Notamacropus eugenii: one gene and its partner. The protein of the gene in region 1 interacts with the protein of each later gene in a pairwise test. Links are inferred from orthologs where the notes say so. Each region holds a gene or a part of one and is shown on either strand. Other genes may lie near its edges.

The links.
Region 2: the proteins of KASH5 (region 1) and GPR25 interact in binary tests that used the Homo sapiens proteins (3 or more experiments, as listed by UniProt). The two-hybrid records come from large-scale screens. The link is inferred for Notamacropus eugenii from reciprocal best matches to the Homo sapiens genes KASH5 and GPR25.

The regions. Positions count from the first base shown.
Region 1 is NC_092876.1:12,583,982-12,592,041, reverse strand, and holds the start of KASH5 (protein KASH5), read right to left. Parts: upstream 3,034-8,060; 5' UTR 2,996-3,033; coding exon 2,808-2,995; exon of another isoform or gene 2,726-2,807; intron 1,972-2,725; coding exon 1,865-1,971; intron 1-1,864. Other genes in the region: DKKL1 (dickkopf-like protein 1), read right to left, coding at 7,053-7,346, 7,874-7,966. UniProt on the Homo sapiens protein: As a component of the LINC (LInker of Nucleoskeleton and Cytoskeleton) complex, involved in the connection between the nuclear lamina and the cytoskeleton.
Region 2 is NC_092873.1:439,827,892-439,835,829, reverse strand, and holds the start of GPR25 (probable G-protein coupled receptor 25), read left to right. Parts: upstream 1-4,854; 5' UTR 4,855-6,595; coding exon 6,596-7,930; 3' UTR 7,931-7,938. UniProt on the Homo sapiens protein: Orphan receptor.

The DNA of each region.
Region 1 (8,060 bases):
CTGATGTATCACATGATTCCATAGGCATCTGTGATTCCCTGCTATCTTTATGACATCTAAATTGGTTGGTGCTTTCTTAGAAGACCTTCGTCTATTTACATGACATTCTTTTTCCCTTTTTATCAGAAATGTTTCCCTTTGTATCTTCAGAACTTCATTCTTAGGAGCCTGACAGCCCTCCTGGACCAACTACAGAATTTTATGCAAAGACATGCTACCTATCCTATACCTACATTTTTGACCTGCTCTTCCAAATCTAAAGTGTCACACTATACCTTGCTTTCTTCTCTGCTACTACAAATTCTGAGGTGGAACCTCCCCAGGGTTGCCCCTATTTCAGGGTTGCCCTCAGTTTGTGACAATCACTTCCAGGATAGCACTTCCCCTCTGGTCCAGCAGCACCCACGTCGGCTTTGGTTCAGACACTTGACAGGCAGAGACCCAGCAAAGATGCTCCCTGAGCTCCTCTCCCCCCACTCCAGGGGTCAGGGGGCTTGGGAAGCATGGCTAATGTGGACTCAGGAGCCTCCTGCCCCACCCAGCTCAGGCCTGCAGTCTCTGGACCACCTCTGCAGGCCCAGGGCTGCTTACACCTAGATAAACTCCCTGGTCTGAGGGGATCAGCGTGTTAGTGTTAGAACTGGAAAGGGGACCAGCCATAGGCATTTAGAGCTAGCCTACATGCCATTTTACAAGGAAAACAGATCTTTGCGTGGTTAAGTGAGGTTAATCTGAGAGGTTAAGTGGCAAGGTCACAGCCAGCAAGTAGAGAGATAGGACTTAGAGCCCAGGCCTTCTAACTCTCAGAGGTTTTGTTTCCACTGGACTTCTGCAAAGTGAGCTGGGAAGGTGATAAAATTGCGTACTCACCTCTCTCTCTACAAACCAGGCTCCAACCCCTGAAAACAACCTTAAGTCTTCCCTGGTTGGAATGGGTTACTGAAGCTGTCCAGCACACAGGCTGCTTTCCTGGGTCACTTTTAGAAGTCCCCCCTTTGGCTTTGGGTACCCCCTCCTCCTTGAGCCTGTGGCCTCCCACCAGCAATATGACCACAGACTTTGCTCTTTTCACCTCTGAGCCCATCCCCCAGAATGCTGCCCATCACAGGGTGGTGTGGGAGAACCTGGGAGGCGAGAGGCTGGGAACCACTAGTTCACTTTGACTCCATAGGACCTGGACACAGATCCTGGTCAGCATCTGGGCCCCACAAAATCCCTGCCCTTGGCACACTTCCCAAGTTCATCCCCTAAACACTTCCTCCTGAGACTCATTAGAGGTTACTCCTTAATTTACATGCCAGAGAAAGTAACTTGCTCACCTAAGGGTAAAAATGTTTTGTTTGGCTCAGAAGGAAACTGGGATTCAGCCAAAATAAGGTATGAGCCCAAGGTAGCACAGTTCAAAAGAAACAGGGCCAGGATTCTTGGAGCCCCTGGCTTGGACCCCCAGTCTCCAGCGGTACCACCCTGACCTCATGGGTCCATCTCCCACCTCTAAGCCTTTGCTTCACCTGGCCCTTTCTCCCTGGGGTCTTTCTGGATCCTGGCCCTCGCCCATACCCACACTTCTGCCTTAGTGCTCTGCCCTTCTCACCACCTGGAGAAGAGCCTCCTCTAGAACCGTCCTCTTTGGGGAGCAGCACAGTCAGCTGCTTCATTCCTCCTTCTGTTTCCTTCCTTCGAATCCCAGAGCTGACTTCCCTGCACCATCCCCACCTCGCACCCCGCCTCAGACCCCATCGAGCTGAGTCAGCTGCCTCCCTCCACCTGTTGGGACAAGTCCCTTCTGGGATCCTGAGGTCCCGTCACTGACCCCCACCCCCCCGCCCCCCAGTCCCACCCTGGGAGGACACGAGTTACCCACTTTCTGAAGTCAGGCTGGCGGGTCTGGGCACCTGGCTCTCCACAGTATCCATTGAACCTGGCTCCTGAGCCTCAAGAGGGGAAGGGGCTGATGCCACCACTGTTTCCCTGGAAGGACAAAGAGCAGGACTGAGGCTTGAAACCAGCCCGGCCTGTACCCCTCAGTCTTCCATCTTAATTATGGCCTGCTGGCCTCCGTGGAACCAGATCATTATCCAGAGCCTGTTCTCCCTTGTGCCCCAAGTGCCCCAGAGCACTTGGGCCAGGCCTCGCTGGGGGTGGGGGGAGCTCAAAGGCCCTGGGGTTCTTTCACGTATTGATTGGGGGGGACCTCAGGGGCCTCTTTCTTAAGGGGTTGGGAGGGGAGGTCACCTGCCAGGGTTTGGGAGACACTCTCCTTCTAAGAGGCTGGGGGGCTCTCTGGCTCCCTACTCCTGTAGGGTTGTGGGGGGCCATCCAAAAGAATCCTTGAGGTCTCCAGCAACATTCAAGGTCTGATATTTGGGGCCTCTCTCTGACTACATCTGGGGGGGGTATCTTAAGAGGCTGGGGGATTTTACCAGCACTATTTGGGGCCCTTTATAATAGAACTAGAGGCTTTTCTGACAGGCTCAGGGGCCCTTTCTCACAGATTTGGGGGCCCCTCTCTGACAGTATCAGGGTCCCCTTTCTCACAGAATTTGAGGGGCCCTCTCTGACAGACTTGGGGTCCCCTTTCTCATAGATTTGGGGGCCCCTCTCTGACAGACTTGGGGTCCCCTTTCTCATAGATTTGGGGGCCCCTCTCTGACAGTATCAGGGTCCCCTTTCTCACAGGGTTTGGGGGGCCCCTCCCTGACAGGCTCGGGGTCCCCTTTCTCACAGATTTGGGGGCCCTCTCTGAGAGGCTCGGGGCTCCCTCTCTCCTCGGCCGGCTCAGTCACGGTGGGGAGCTCGCCCCTCACCCTGCTGCCCGCCTTGGGCTTCGACAACTGGCAGGAAGCTGGGCCGGAAGCCTTTCCCGCCAGAATGAGCGAGCCCCTGCCGTCGAAGCCGCAGTCGTGGGTACGCATGCGCCTCGGGCGCCCCTCCTCGAGGCAAGGCGCAGGCGCAGGAGGGAGTGCTCGGCAAACCGTTGGCGAGCCATGCGCATGCGTCGTGGCCAAGGCTTGCGCCTGCGCAAAGGCCCTCCTTCGCCTCTCTCCCAGTCCAGCCCGAAGGAGGGCGGGGAAAGAATTTCTGTTGGGCCATTTGGGGCCGTCAGTATCCCCGCTTCTTCCCCTGCCCCCTCCCCCAGCCAGGACCCCCATCTTGCCTGGGCCTAAACCTTTCCAGGGAGTCTTCAGGACACTTGAGTGCTAAGCTTAGCACGGCCCCCCCAAGACAGAGAATCACCCCCGCCTTACCTTGGGGCGTACGGGGTGGGGGGTGGAGAAGGGGGGAATCAAAGGGGGAAGGGGGCTCCCCCTTCTGGCCTACCCAGCTTCCTGCAGAGCCATCCACAAGCGACACCTCCCCAAATTCGCACCCTGCCCCTTTAACAAGCAGCCCCTAACTCCCACTCACCCAATGGGTCTGATTTCCGGGGACCCTTTGGGAATAACGGGAGTTTTCCCAGCCTTTGTTTCAACAGTTCCACAAGCATTCCCCACCCTCCGTCTCCCCTCAGCCTCTGGTTTCATTGGCCACACGAGATCTGGTGAAGAAGCTGGGGGTGGCTGGGGGGATGGCCCCGGGGGAGCCCGCCGGGAACCCTCCTGGTGCGGGCATCAGCCTCAAAAAGGGTTAAAGAAGCCAGAAGGTCTGCTGGGATGCTGGCTGGGGTGCTGACCTGATGCCGGCTGGGGTGCTGACCTGATGCCGGCTGGGGTGCCGGCTGGGATGCTGGCTGGGGTGCCGGCTGGGGTGCTGACATGATGCCGGCTGGGGTGCCGGCTGGGGTGCTGGCTGGGGTGCCGGCTGGGGTGCTGACCTGATGCCGGCTGGGGTGCTGACATGATGCCGGCTGGGGTGCCGGCTGGGATGCTGGCTGGGGTGCTGACATGATGCCGGCTGGGGTGCTGGCTGGGGTGCCGGCTGGGTACCACTTGTGCCAGAGAAGCTGGAGCCGGCAGGCTGCACTGTGGGGACATTTCCCCTTCCTCCTTCCAGGTTTAGGTCCCCGAGGATCATCCTCCTACCCCGAGAAAGTGAACAGATACGTTCAACAACAGGGTTGGGGGTGGGGGAGGAACTTTATCTCTTCAGGTATTATTCTTCAGCTTTACATTGCAAGATAAATGGGGTTTTTTTTGTCAATATGCTGAATGTGAATTCCTTGGGACCAAGCTGAACTCCAGTTGGATGGAGCATGCGTCAAGAAATGTATTATTGGAATATCTCTACATCATGGTCCACTCAGAAAGCACTAAAAGAGGCTGGGAAGGTGAGACTGCTAGGTACTTTGTGCACCCACACAGGTGGGAGCTGTGGAAACTAACTTTGAGCATCCTCTGGTGGCCAAGCCAGTTATGGCACCTCAAACAGCTGTTCCAAGCCATACCCTTTAATGCTGGTAATTGTAAAAGACTCTTCTTGTAGGACACCAACTATTCTGTAATGGGACAAAATGTTTCACAAGGCTCTCTTAGAGGGCTGGCTGTCCTAGGGACATGACAGCGGATAACCAAGGGCACTGGAGATGATCTGAAGATTTTATTTCTATAGGGTCACAAATGATAAGGACCACTAGGCACGATCCATTATAACGGGCAGGAAGTGGGGTTGGAAATAACTCACATTCTAATGCATTGTAAGATTTACAGAACACTTCCTCCAATACCCTTGGCAGGTAGGTAGGGCAAATGAAGTTTTGTGCTACCCAGGAGATGCATTATTAGGTCAGGAGGATGGAAAGCAAATGACCTTACCTTTTTCGTTCCTTTAGGTTAGAAAGGAATTTTCTGATCCTGAATCTAAGACTTGGCATTAACACCAGACACAAGCATTCTAAACAACAGAAGATCTTAGAAAAGGGCCACTTTGACTGGCTTTTTATTTGGCTGTTCTTAGCTAGGTATGGTGATTTCCAGCGTTTAGCTCTGGGCTATATATAAAAAAGCTCAGCCTGCCCCGGTCAAGGAGAGGCTAACTAATCACTGCACTGAAGATAGGAAAGCCAGCAGCTGCCCAGCAAGAGCTGAAATACAACCATACAACTGGGGAGATACCTAGCAGAGCAAGTATTATCTCCTGAGAGAACTTAGGCAGCCCTGCAAAACCATAGGTTGAGAATGGCTCTGGCCCCAAGGGTTTCTGGGGCATGTACCTTTTCACATAGGTTCTCTTTATGTTCCCGTTTATGTGCCCTGGTCTCACTTCTGTGTTATCTTTCACCACTGGTGCAGTAAGCTATGGGAGACTGTATCCTTCCTGTATTTTCTTAAGTTATTTTATTCTGAACTAATGCATTTACTTTGCTAAAAGTAAACAAGTCAGTCTGTGGAGAATCTGGAGCTGTGGTTTTGACTGGGTGCTGTGACCCAGTCTACCCTGCTCTACCCTGAGGTCATTTTTTGTTTGTTTTCTAGAGAGACTGAGAGGGAGTGTCTCAGATCCTACACCTGGTGTGTGCGTTCATCCTTCGTTGAAAGAAGACCATGCCATCAGAGAAATGATGACATGACTTGCACTTGACTTTGTTTTGAGTGAGGGAGGGCTGTGCAGGTCACCAGCCTCACTTCTCCGCTAGAGTCATCTGAATCCAGTGACCAGATATTCATCAGGATGACTGGAGATGACCCAGGATGAGGCAATTGGGGTTAAGTGACTTGCCCAAGATCGCACAGCTAGTGAGTATCAACTGTCTAAGGAGCATTAGGTGGTGCAATGGGTAGAGTGCTGGGCCTGGAGTCTGGAAGACATCTTCCTGAGTTCAAATCTGGTCTCAGACTTTTTTTTAGGGGCACTTAGGTGGTGCAGTGGATAGAACACCAGTGCAGGAGTCAGGAGGACCTGAGTTCAAATCTCACCTCAGACACTTGACACTCACTGTGTGACCTTGGGCAAGTCACTTAGCCCCAATTGCCTCATCCTGGGTCATATCTCCAGTCATCATGATGAGTATCTCTGGTCACTGGATTCAGGCTCTGGAGGAGAACTGAGGCTGGTGACCTGCACAGCCCTCCCTCACTGAAAACAAAGTCAAATGTAAATCATGTCATCATTTCTCTGATGGCATGGTCTTCTTAGGCAACAAAGGATGAACCCACACCTACACCTGGTATCTTCTGGCTAGAGGAAAACTTTAATCTCTGTTGGGGGTGTAAGCTCAGTTTTCACGTGGACAGTGTCGGGCAGGTAAAGGTGAGGACTTCTAAACCTCAGAGTTCTTATGAGGCCCCCCAGGGAACAGCTGGGAATTGAGGCATGAAACACGGGCTATCTCGTGCATTTCCACCTCTTCTCAGTGGGAAACTTGCTGGGGAGAGCATCCCACCCTTGAGATTGGCCCGTGGTCTGAGCACACCTGTTGTTGACTAGCTAGGGGCTGAGAGCATGCATGGTATCCACGTGCAAACTATGCGGCGGGAGAGCTTAAGTAGGGACAGGAAAGCCTGAAGGCGCTCTTCGTGCTGAGGGGCCCTTGGAGGGAAGAGGGTCCCCCCCTCTTCTGCTCCCATCCTCTTGCTGTACGATCCTTGCCTCTTGGGAGGAGGAGGATTCCTCTCTCCTGAGGAAGAATTCACCCTGCACATGTAACTAAGACCCTGAATAAAGCCTAACCCTTGTTCGACTCTGGAAAGTCTCTTCTCTCAACACGTTTATCCGGCTGATCTCCGAAGACCTGGACGACAGGTAAGAAAGGCTCGGGTAGCCCTTCGGCCTCTAGGCTGAACAAATCTCCTTATGCTAATTTTACTTATGGTGAAACTGACAATCTGAGAAGTGACTAGCCCAAAGCACTGGAGGTCAGACGAGAACTCAAGTCTATTGATTTCTATCTAGGAACTTTCTCTACTTCAGGTTGCAGTGATGGAACAGGAGAGTAGAGACAGATGAAAGAGCCCAGGGCCTTGCTATGACCGAGACTGGCCGGAGATGACAGACAGCCTTGATGCTGTTTTCACTGAAGATAGAACTTTTATTTATTTTCGAGGGGATGGAGGGGCCGATGCAGGCATCCTCACCTCTCATCTGCCCTCAGCCTGCCTCTTTGCCAACCCTGGAGCCTACAGCTGCCGAGGGGGCCTTAGGAAATAGAGAAAATGGGCCCTGTGAGGCACAGGGCGAAGGCGCAAGGGGGCTTCCTCGTGGGCTCCCTCCCGAAGTCCATCCCGGATTGCCTGAAGCCGATGACGCTTCTCACTGACCCAGCGGCTCCCAGCCCGGCTTTCAGTCCGGGTCATCCGACGTGGAAGGCTGATTATCCAGAAAGCCACTTTGGGCTGTGCCTCGGCATGGGAGCTGCTCAGTTCATTGCTTCGGAGTGTCTGGGCAGGTTCATTCTCCTCCTCATCAGTTGCCTAGAACCACAGAACCACAAGGTCTCTGAGCTGAAAGGGGCTTCTCTACCTGAGCAGGGCATCATCTTGAGAAGTTCACACTGAGCCTTTGCTTTTAGACTTCCTAGGATGGTGAATTCACTACCCTTTGTGGCCAGTCCTAATCTCTTCCTTCCTATTTCTGCTTCTGCTCCCTCTCCCTACTGCTCTGGACCTTCCAACTGGGACCATGCATTCACAAGTTACAAGAAAAGGAAAGAAGGGGGACTAGGCTTCTTGGAGGTTTGGCCTTGATCTCTGCTTCTCCCTTCCACAGGAAGAGGTTTCCTGACACTTTCCCCACCTACTTCCCTCCATTTCTTTCATTCCCATCCCTGATTACTGGGGAGACAGAGGCATAGACAAAGGGGAGAGCAACATGAACTTGTTCCTGGGTCTTGCTTCCCCATCCTCGATGACAGCGTGTTTCAGAGTTCCCCCATCCTTTCTCCTTAGAAGTCACAGAGGTCCAACACTGAAATTTACTGGGCAACAGAAGCATCTCTGACCTTCCAATCATCTTCCACATTCCCTTCTGAAGGCTCAATTGCAGCCACCACCTTCTCTGAAATCATCACATCTCCAGTCCGATTGTCAGTCACCTGTGTGTATATGTGTATAGTATGGGGTAGGAGGGCAGGCAGAGAATGAAACTCATTCCCTTTACCAACACCATTTCTGCCCACCACCAAATTT
Region 2 (7,938 bases), on another chromosome or scaffold:
TGGATATTGAGTAATTGTAATGACTGATCTTGGCCCTCTCAGAGAGGAAAAAGCACCTCCCACTTCTAAGTAGAAGGTGGAAGCTAGGAATGCATATAACAATATGTGATTTTTATTCATAGTTGATTTTGCTTAACTGTTTTTCTTTGTTACAATGGAGGGCTGATGTGAGAGGTGGGGTGACCTTTCATTATATCTGAAAGTACTAATATAAAAACAAAGGCTATCAATAAAATTTGTTTTTTAATACCTAAGTATAGTTCTTACACCCCCCATAGGTCTCCCTGACTACCCTAGGAGAACCCCACCCTATAATTTGAACCCTAAACTTGTAGCAGGCAAGAGACCAGGTCCCCAGCAAGAATCATAACTCAGTGTTGGTCATATCTAGTTGTTTCTGTATTCTAAAACCATCTTCTTCCCCTTCGAAACTCATCTAACCGCTCAGACCAATTTCCCTAGCAGCTTACTCTCTACTCATTTCTGGCTTTCAGGATCACTCATGCTCTCTAGGTGCCAGATCAAACTTAGCCCATTCTCTGAATCTGAGAGGCAGGCAACTACACCCAGTCAAGTTGGCAGTGAGGAAGCAATAGGGGCTCTGGGTTCCAATTCTGCTTCTGACTCATTTTGGAACACTATCAGGCAAATATTTTATATCCATTTCCACATCGAGGGAATGGGGGCTGAAGGTAGTGGGTTCTCAAGGATGTAGAGATAAGCCATTAGTAACAATGAGACACAGATTTGTAGAGTTATGAATCAGAGAGAGAGAAGATTTGTCATCTTCTGAAGCACTAGAGAAAATTAAATGTAATCGATATGTGTAGGATTTTGTTTCTGGGAAGTGAAACACCATGAATAAGTTTGGATGCCAGCAAGAGGGAATAGCCATAGGGTCCCTTCCCATCGAGGGAGTTGGCATGGTAGCCTTGGGGATACTTCCTTCCTACAACAGCATCCCTAAATCTCACTGAGTCTTCCAGGACCTTCCCACCAACTTCCATCATGGTAAGAACCAAAGTCTCTGAAGGACAGCCACCCCCTCTCCTGTCATGACTACCAAGATTCAGGCTCTCCTTCCACATTCCCACTGCCCTCCAACCCCAAATGAATCTTCCCTAGGCATAGTTACAGCTCTGATTCTTACAGCAGTTAATTTAGTTTCACCTTTAACCTTGTGGTAAGTCACCCCAAGTAGAAGACATATCAAAAAGACAAAGATTAGCCTATGTCCATTTTAGATCTCTACAGCCCAGGCCGGCTGCCCTTGCCTACTTAGCATGTGATAGGGCTGTCTCCCCTCCCTGTCAGTTGGTGTGGACTTTGGGAATGCAGACTCCTTTTAACACTAACCTGAGCAAACCATTCATATGATAGAGTATCAACTGAAAAGAATCACAGAAACGGATGTGCAGTGAGAGAGTCAGAAACAAAAACATTGTATCGTAATGATTATATAGTGATATTGCAACAATGGTGAAAAGAACCCTGATAAGAACTTCCATGGACTGACTGATGAAGAAGTCTTGCTAGTGAATGGGACTATATGTATCTAATTCCATTAAGTATACAAGACATGCATATATATGGTCCCATTAAATAAATACTATAGTATATATGCACATGCATATATGCACACACATTTTTGTTCAGTTGTTTTTAGTCTGACTCTTTGTGCCCATTTGGGATTTTCTTTGCAAAGATACTGGTTTGCCATTTCCTTCTCTGGCTCCTTTTACAGATGAAGAAACTGAGGCAAACAGGGTTAAGTGATTTTCCCAGGGTCACATAACTAGTAAGTGTCTGAGGCCGGATTTGAACTCAGGTCCTCCTGATTCTAGGCCTGGCACTCCATCCACTGTGCCACCTAGCTGCCTCCCATATAAGACTATATTTTTTGCCCTGGAGCTACCGTTGCCATTTCACTCTCCAATCTGGATCTACAGATTCCTTGCTCATGGTGGGCAAAGCCAATCAGTTCTGAACAATCTGGCCATTTTCAAACCTACCTGTCTCCCCTCCCATGCCATTACTCCCTTTCCACCTCTGGCTCTGAGAACTATAAGCATATCAGCTCTGCTTTTTGCCCTGGAAAGGTTCCGTTGGTGGAGTGCCTGCGTGTTCTGTTCACTGTCCCTGTGTTTCCCCAGACCATAACTCCCTTCCCTGGCCACCATGCCTCATCCCTCCCATTAGAATATAAGCCCTCTGAACCATTTATACAGTAATAGCAATATTAGAAACCAGGCAACTTTGAAAAACTTAGGAATGTCAATTGATACAATGACCAACTACAAATCCAGAGGACCCAAAATGAAACCTGATGCCCACATCCTGAGAGAAAGGTGATGGGCTTCAAACAGAGACTGCAGATTTATTTTTTTTGACATGGCCAATGTGGAAATTTGTCTCATCTGACTATAAGGCCTGTAGCAGGGTGTTTGTGCCTCTTGCTTTCTCACTTAGAGGTGGGTAAAGGGGTGAGGAGGGCAAAAGAGGATGAGAATATGAAAATAAAATACAATTTGATTTTAAGAAAAATGTAAGTTCCTTGAGGGCAGGGGCTTTATATGTATCCCCAGCACCAATCCCTTAATAAGCACCTCGTCATTTATTCAAGTTGCAAATCTATCAGCTGTGGTTGTGATCCAAGTAGCAAGGGTTTTGGGGTCAAATGGGATAGTTAGGTAAAGTGCCTCTTAAACCTTAAATAAATTCCAGCTATTAAAATTGGTGCTCATGGACTACCATCTACCATTCTGAATTATTCACATCCCTGTAATTAACATAATTGAGACTTGTCCACCCATGAGGGATGAACAAGGTCTGTGGTTCTGAGCATAAAACATATCACAGGTGAAGTTGGAGGAACCAAAGCTGAAAGGCACTTTAGGAGTCCAGTAATCCAGTTCCTCCATTTTAAAGCCAAGAAAACCAAAATACAGAGAGGTTGTGATTCCCTGGCCATCTCCATGATGTACATTTTCTCTCCAGTCTTCTCTTCCTCCTCCTTCTCCTGTGACAGATTTGGGAGCCTGGACCTAATCAGAGGACTTTCACTTGTATCTTACCCAGACCTGTGATCATCATGCATATACACTTGGGGTGCATGCCCCCTGTTATATCTCACCTCTTAGGGTGGGGTTGCGGGTGCTGGAGCCACCTCAAACCACTCCAAAAAACCTGATTGTTAAATATTCGCTGTGAGCATTTATACATCACAAATTGGCAAAGTATAAATCAGGGCTTGAGTTATTATTTTGTTCATTGTCTAGACTTAAGAAAGTAAAAGAGAAAAGGTTAATAATGCCCATTAGACATGTGTCGTACATATATTTTTTCCCAGAAATTCAGTGTTAAACATTTACCACCACACCTCTGCCCTTCCCCTACTGCTCTTTCCAGTTCTTGTTTACCCATCTATATTATCTTCCTCTACTAGAATGTAAGTATCTTGCAGGTAGAGACTGTCTTACTTGTACTTATACCTTTACACACTTTTAAAAAATAATGTCTGGTACATAGTGAGGCCAGCTAGGTAGCACAGTGGGTAGAGTGGAAGCCCTGTAGTCAGAAAGATCTGAGTTCAAATCTGGCATGTGACCCTGGGCAAGTCACTTCACCCTGTTTACCCCAGCTTCTCATCTGTAAGATGAGCTAGGGAAGGAAGTGGCAAACCAGTCCATTATCTCTACCAGGAAAGCCCCAAATGGGGTCACAAAGAATTGGGCACAACTGAAAAATGATTGAACCACAACTGGTGCATAGTAGGCATTTCATAATTGCCTTTTCATGTCATTGAATTACCCAAAGTCACACAGTAGTAAGTGTCAAAGGTGAGACCAGTTCTCCAGGAAGAAAAAATGTAAGTTTGACACACTTTTATTCATCTCCACTATTAACATTTTCTCTATGTCTTTCTTGTCTAGACAATCAACAAAACAATAAATCAAGCCCTAATTTGTAACTCTTCCCATGCTTGCATCTAAAAATGGAGTAACTGTTTCTTGTAAACTGGTTGGAGCTGCACACCCCTGGTAGTAAGTAAGCATCAAAGCTAGAATTGTAAGCCAGGTCCTCTGATGGCCAAGTCAGGGTGTGGCAAACGGACCTGGGGCCAGGAGGGCGGAGGCAAGCCCCCTCCAGGAACAATCCTTCCCCTCAGAAACGGACAGGGGAGCCCATTCCTGAGTAAGAGATGGAAGGTGAGGCAGAAGGGTCCTAAAATCACAGGATTCGAGCTGGAAGAGACTTCACATAGATCATCTGGGTCAATGGTTCTCAACCTTATCCAATATAAGGACCATATTTAATGCAAAACAAGACAGAATTTTATCTCCCTTCCCCTCTCCCTCATAGTAGTAGATTCCAATAGTATTGGAATCTGTTGATTGAGGAAAAAAATGAGGATCAAAAGTCAGGAGTTATATAGTGTGGTCTAGTGGAAAATGCATATGCTTCGGACTAAGATAACTTGAGTTCAAATCCCAACTTACTTGTGCAAATCATTTCATCTCTCTGGGCTTTTGTTTTCCTCAGCTATAAAATGATGAAGTTGGATTAGATGTTCTCTGAGGTTTCTTCCAGCATTATGGTTCTGCTATGAATTTGTTCATGCTTTTATGAATTTATTTGAATAATGTTATACAAATATATTGTATATAATATGTAAGTATAATATCTAAATTTAATGTATCTATAATATATAAATATTTTATGTATTTTAATATATTTATAATATAGTAAATTGTATTCATATTTAATATAAGTATAATATAATGTATTATATTTATAACATAATGTCATATCTCATATTTGATATGGTTATTATATACTAGATGAAATAATAATCTTAATTAATTAATTAGTTTGATGAATTTGAATGATAATTCATCATAACAACATCTGCCTACATTTGAAAAGTAGTAAGTAGCACCTTGGTATGTGAGACATTATTCAGGGAGATTCCAGCAGGAATGTCTATTTGCTATTTGCTAGGTTGAGTCGCTGACTGAGATGGATCCTTTGCAATCATTCCAAAGTTCACCACATAAGAACCACTGACCTAGTCCAACCCCATCATTTTACACATAATGAAACTGTAGAAGTGACTTGCCCAAGGTCATACAAGTGATATAGAGAAGAACTAGGATTCCGACCCAAGCCTCTGCCTCCCAATGCACCGCTTTCTCCACTATACCATCTTCCCTGTGCCTCTCTTAGACTTATGTCATGAGGGATCCTGACCGCAAATGGCTTCTCATCTTCAAAAATGGGAAAAATTTGTCAACAGCATCCAAGAATGACATAAGAGCTCCCTGACATTTCAACAGAGGACATTTGATTTTTTTTTTGAGGCGTTTGGGGTTAAGTGACTTGTCCAGGGTCACATATCTAGTAAGTGTCTGAAGCTGGATTTGAACTCAGGTCCTCCAGACTCCAGGTCTGGTGCTTTCTCTATTGTGCCATCTAGCTGTCCTGATGTTTGATTTTCTTCATTGGGTTTTCATATCCATAATTTCACTTGACCCTCAGAACAACCAGATAAGGTGAGGTCCTTATACCCATTTTATAGGCAAGAACATTTGGGCATTTTGAAGTACAATGAATTACCTAACAATACTAAGCTAGCTGGTAGCAAAGAACAGGTTTAGAACTCAGGACTCTCAACTCCTAGCACTGCATAGGTCTGTCCAGTTCACCCTCACCTGCTCAAGAAACTCCAGTGCTGCCTATCACCTCTGGGATCAACTTTTGTTTGGCATTCAGAGCCCTTAATGAGGTCTCCCCTCCTCTCTGACCCACTCCTATCACCTTTCTAGTCTTAACTTATATACCATCCTAATGACACTGGCCTCCTGGCTATCCTTCCAAGAAGATACTTCATCTCAAACTCTGGGTATTTTCTTTTATTCATTCATTTATTCATTCTTTTATTTTATTCATCCATTATTCATTCATTTATTTTTAGTTTTCAACATAAGTTTGAGTTCTAAATTTTCCCTCCTCTCCAAGACTGTATGCAATCTGATATAGGCTGTACATGTACAATCATAGTAAACATATTTCCCCATTAGTCATGTTGTGAAAGAAGAATCAGAACAAAAGGGGAAAACCCTGAGAAAGAAAAAAAAACTGGGTATTTTCACTGGCTGACTCCCATATCTGGAATTCTCTCCCTCCTCATCTCCACCTCCAGTCTTCCCTGGCTTCCTTCTAAAATCCCACCTCCCACAGGAAGCCTTTCCCAATCTCCCTTCCTTCTATTGCCTTCCCTCTGTGAATTATTTCCAATTTATCCTGTATGGAGCTCGTTTGTACATTGTTGTTAGATGTAGGTTGAACTCTCAAGGAGTTCAATCTCTGAGTATCCCCAGTACGTAGCACAGATTTGGCACATAGTAAGTGCTTAATAAATGTTTATTGACTGACTGTGGTCTTTCTGCAGGTGTGGAGAAAGTCCTCCCATCTCCTTTCTCTGAGTCTGGGTGTGAAATATCCCTAATATTCATCACTGTTCCATCTTCAGTCCTCCCTCCCCTTGTGGTACTCACGAATCCCAAGGTCCTTCAGACCAGATGCACTCAGTCAGATGGTTGGGTTAGCTCCTCTATCTTTCTCTTCTACAAGCTCTTTCTCCACCCACTTCTATCTCCACCCCTCTCCCTCCCTCCAACCACCTTCTTTAACCTGGGCTAGCAGGAAGGGAGGTGTCAGGGGAATGAGCAGTGAGGCAAACATCTTAAAAAGCTGCCCGAGATGTCATTTTAGCAAATCTAAGCCAAGGCTCAGGGTCCATCTAGAGAAGCTGGCCACCATGACAACAGAATCCTGGAGCCCTAGCCCTGGAGAGGGAGATGAAAACTATGAGTGGTCTGGGGACTATGGGGAGCCAATGTTCTGTCCCACTCCTGACCTCCCCTATGGCCACATCTTTATACCCCTCCTCTACCTGGCTGCCTTTGGGGTGGGGCTGGTGGGAAACTCCTTTGTGGTTTGGCTGCTGGCTTGGCAGCAGGGCCCGCAGCGGCTCGTGGATACTTTTGTTCTCCATTTGGCTGTGGCTGACCTGATGTGTGTGGTCACTCTACCATTCTGGGCCACAGCAGCTGGACTGGGTGGCCATTGGACCTTTGGAGAGGGCCTGTGCAAGGTCAGCAGTTTTATTATCGCAGTGACTCGATGTGCCAGTATCCTGCTTTTGGCTGGCATGAGTGTGGATCGATACTTAGCCGTGGTGAAACTCCTGGATGCTAGGCCTTTCCGGAACCAGGGCTGCATGCTGACGACATGTGGCGTGATCTGGACCATCTCTCTTCTGTCGGGGGTTCCCTCCTTGGTCTATAGGAAACTGCTGCCCATGCCAGTGGGTCCAGGCAGCCTGTGTGGAGATGACCCTGCTGACATCTTCCAGTGGCTCAGCCTCCTGGTCCTCTTCCTCACATTCTTCATCCCCCTGGGTATCATCCTTTTCTGCTACTCCCTCATCTCTCAGCGTCTCTGGAACCCTCCCCACCTGGGCCGGGGTAGGAAGAACTCCCTCAGGATCATCTTTGCCATCGTGGGCACTTTCACCTGCTCCTGGCTCCCCTTCAGCATCCTGAAGACCTTTTTCCACATTGCCCACCTGAGGACTCTGCCTTTAGACTGCTCACTGCTTCTGGCACTGCGCTGGGGCCTCTCTCTCTCTACCTGTTTTGCCTTCGTCAACAGTAGTGCCAACCCCATCATCTACTTACTTCTAGATCGATCCTTCCGGGCTCGGGTTCAGGGATCATGCAAGGGGACTCGCCTTCCCCTGGCCGGCAGAGTGAGCTCAACCTCATCTCTCTCAGGGGGAGACAGTTCTATATTCCAAAGTTGGCCCATGGGACGGGCACGGAACACCCGCCTGGCCCCTAGACTTTCCTTGCTCCAGGATCCATGAGAGAAAGG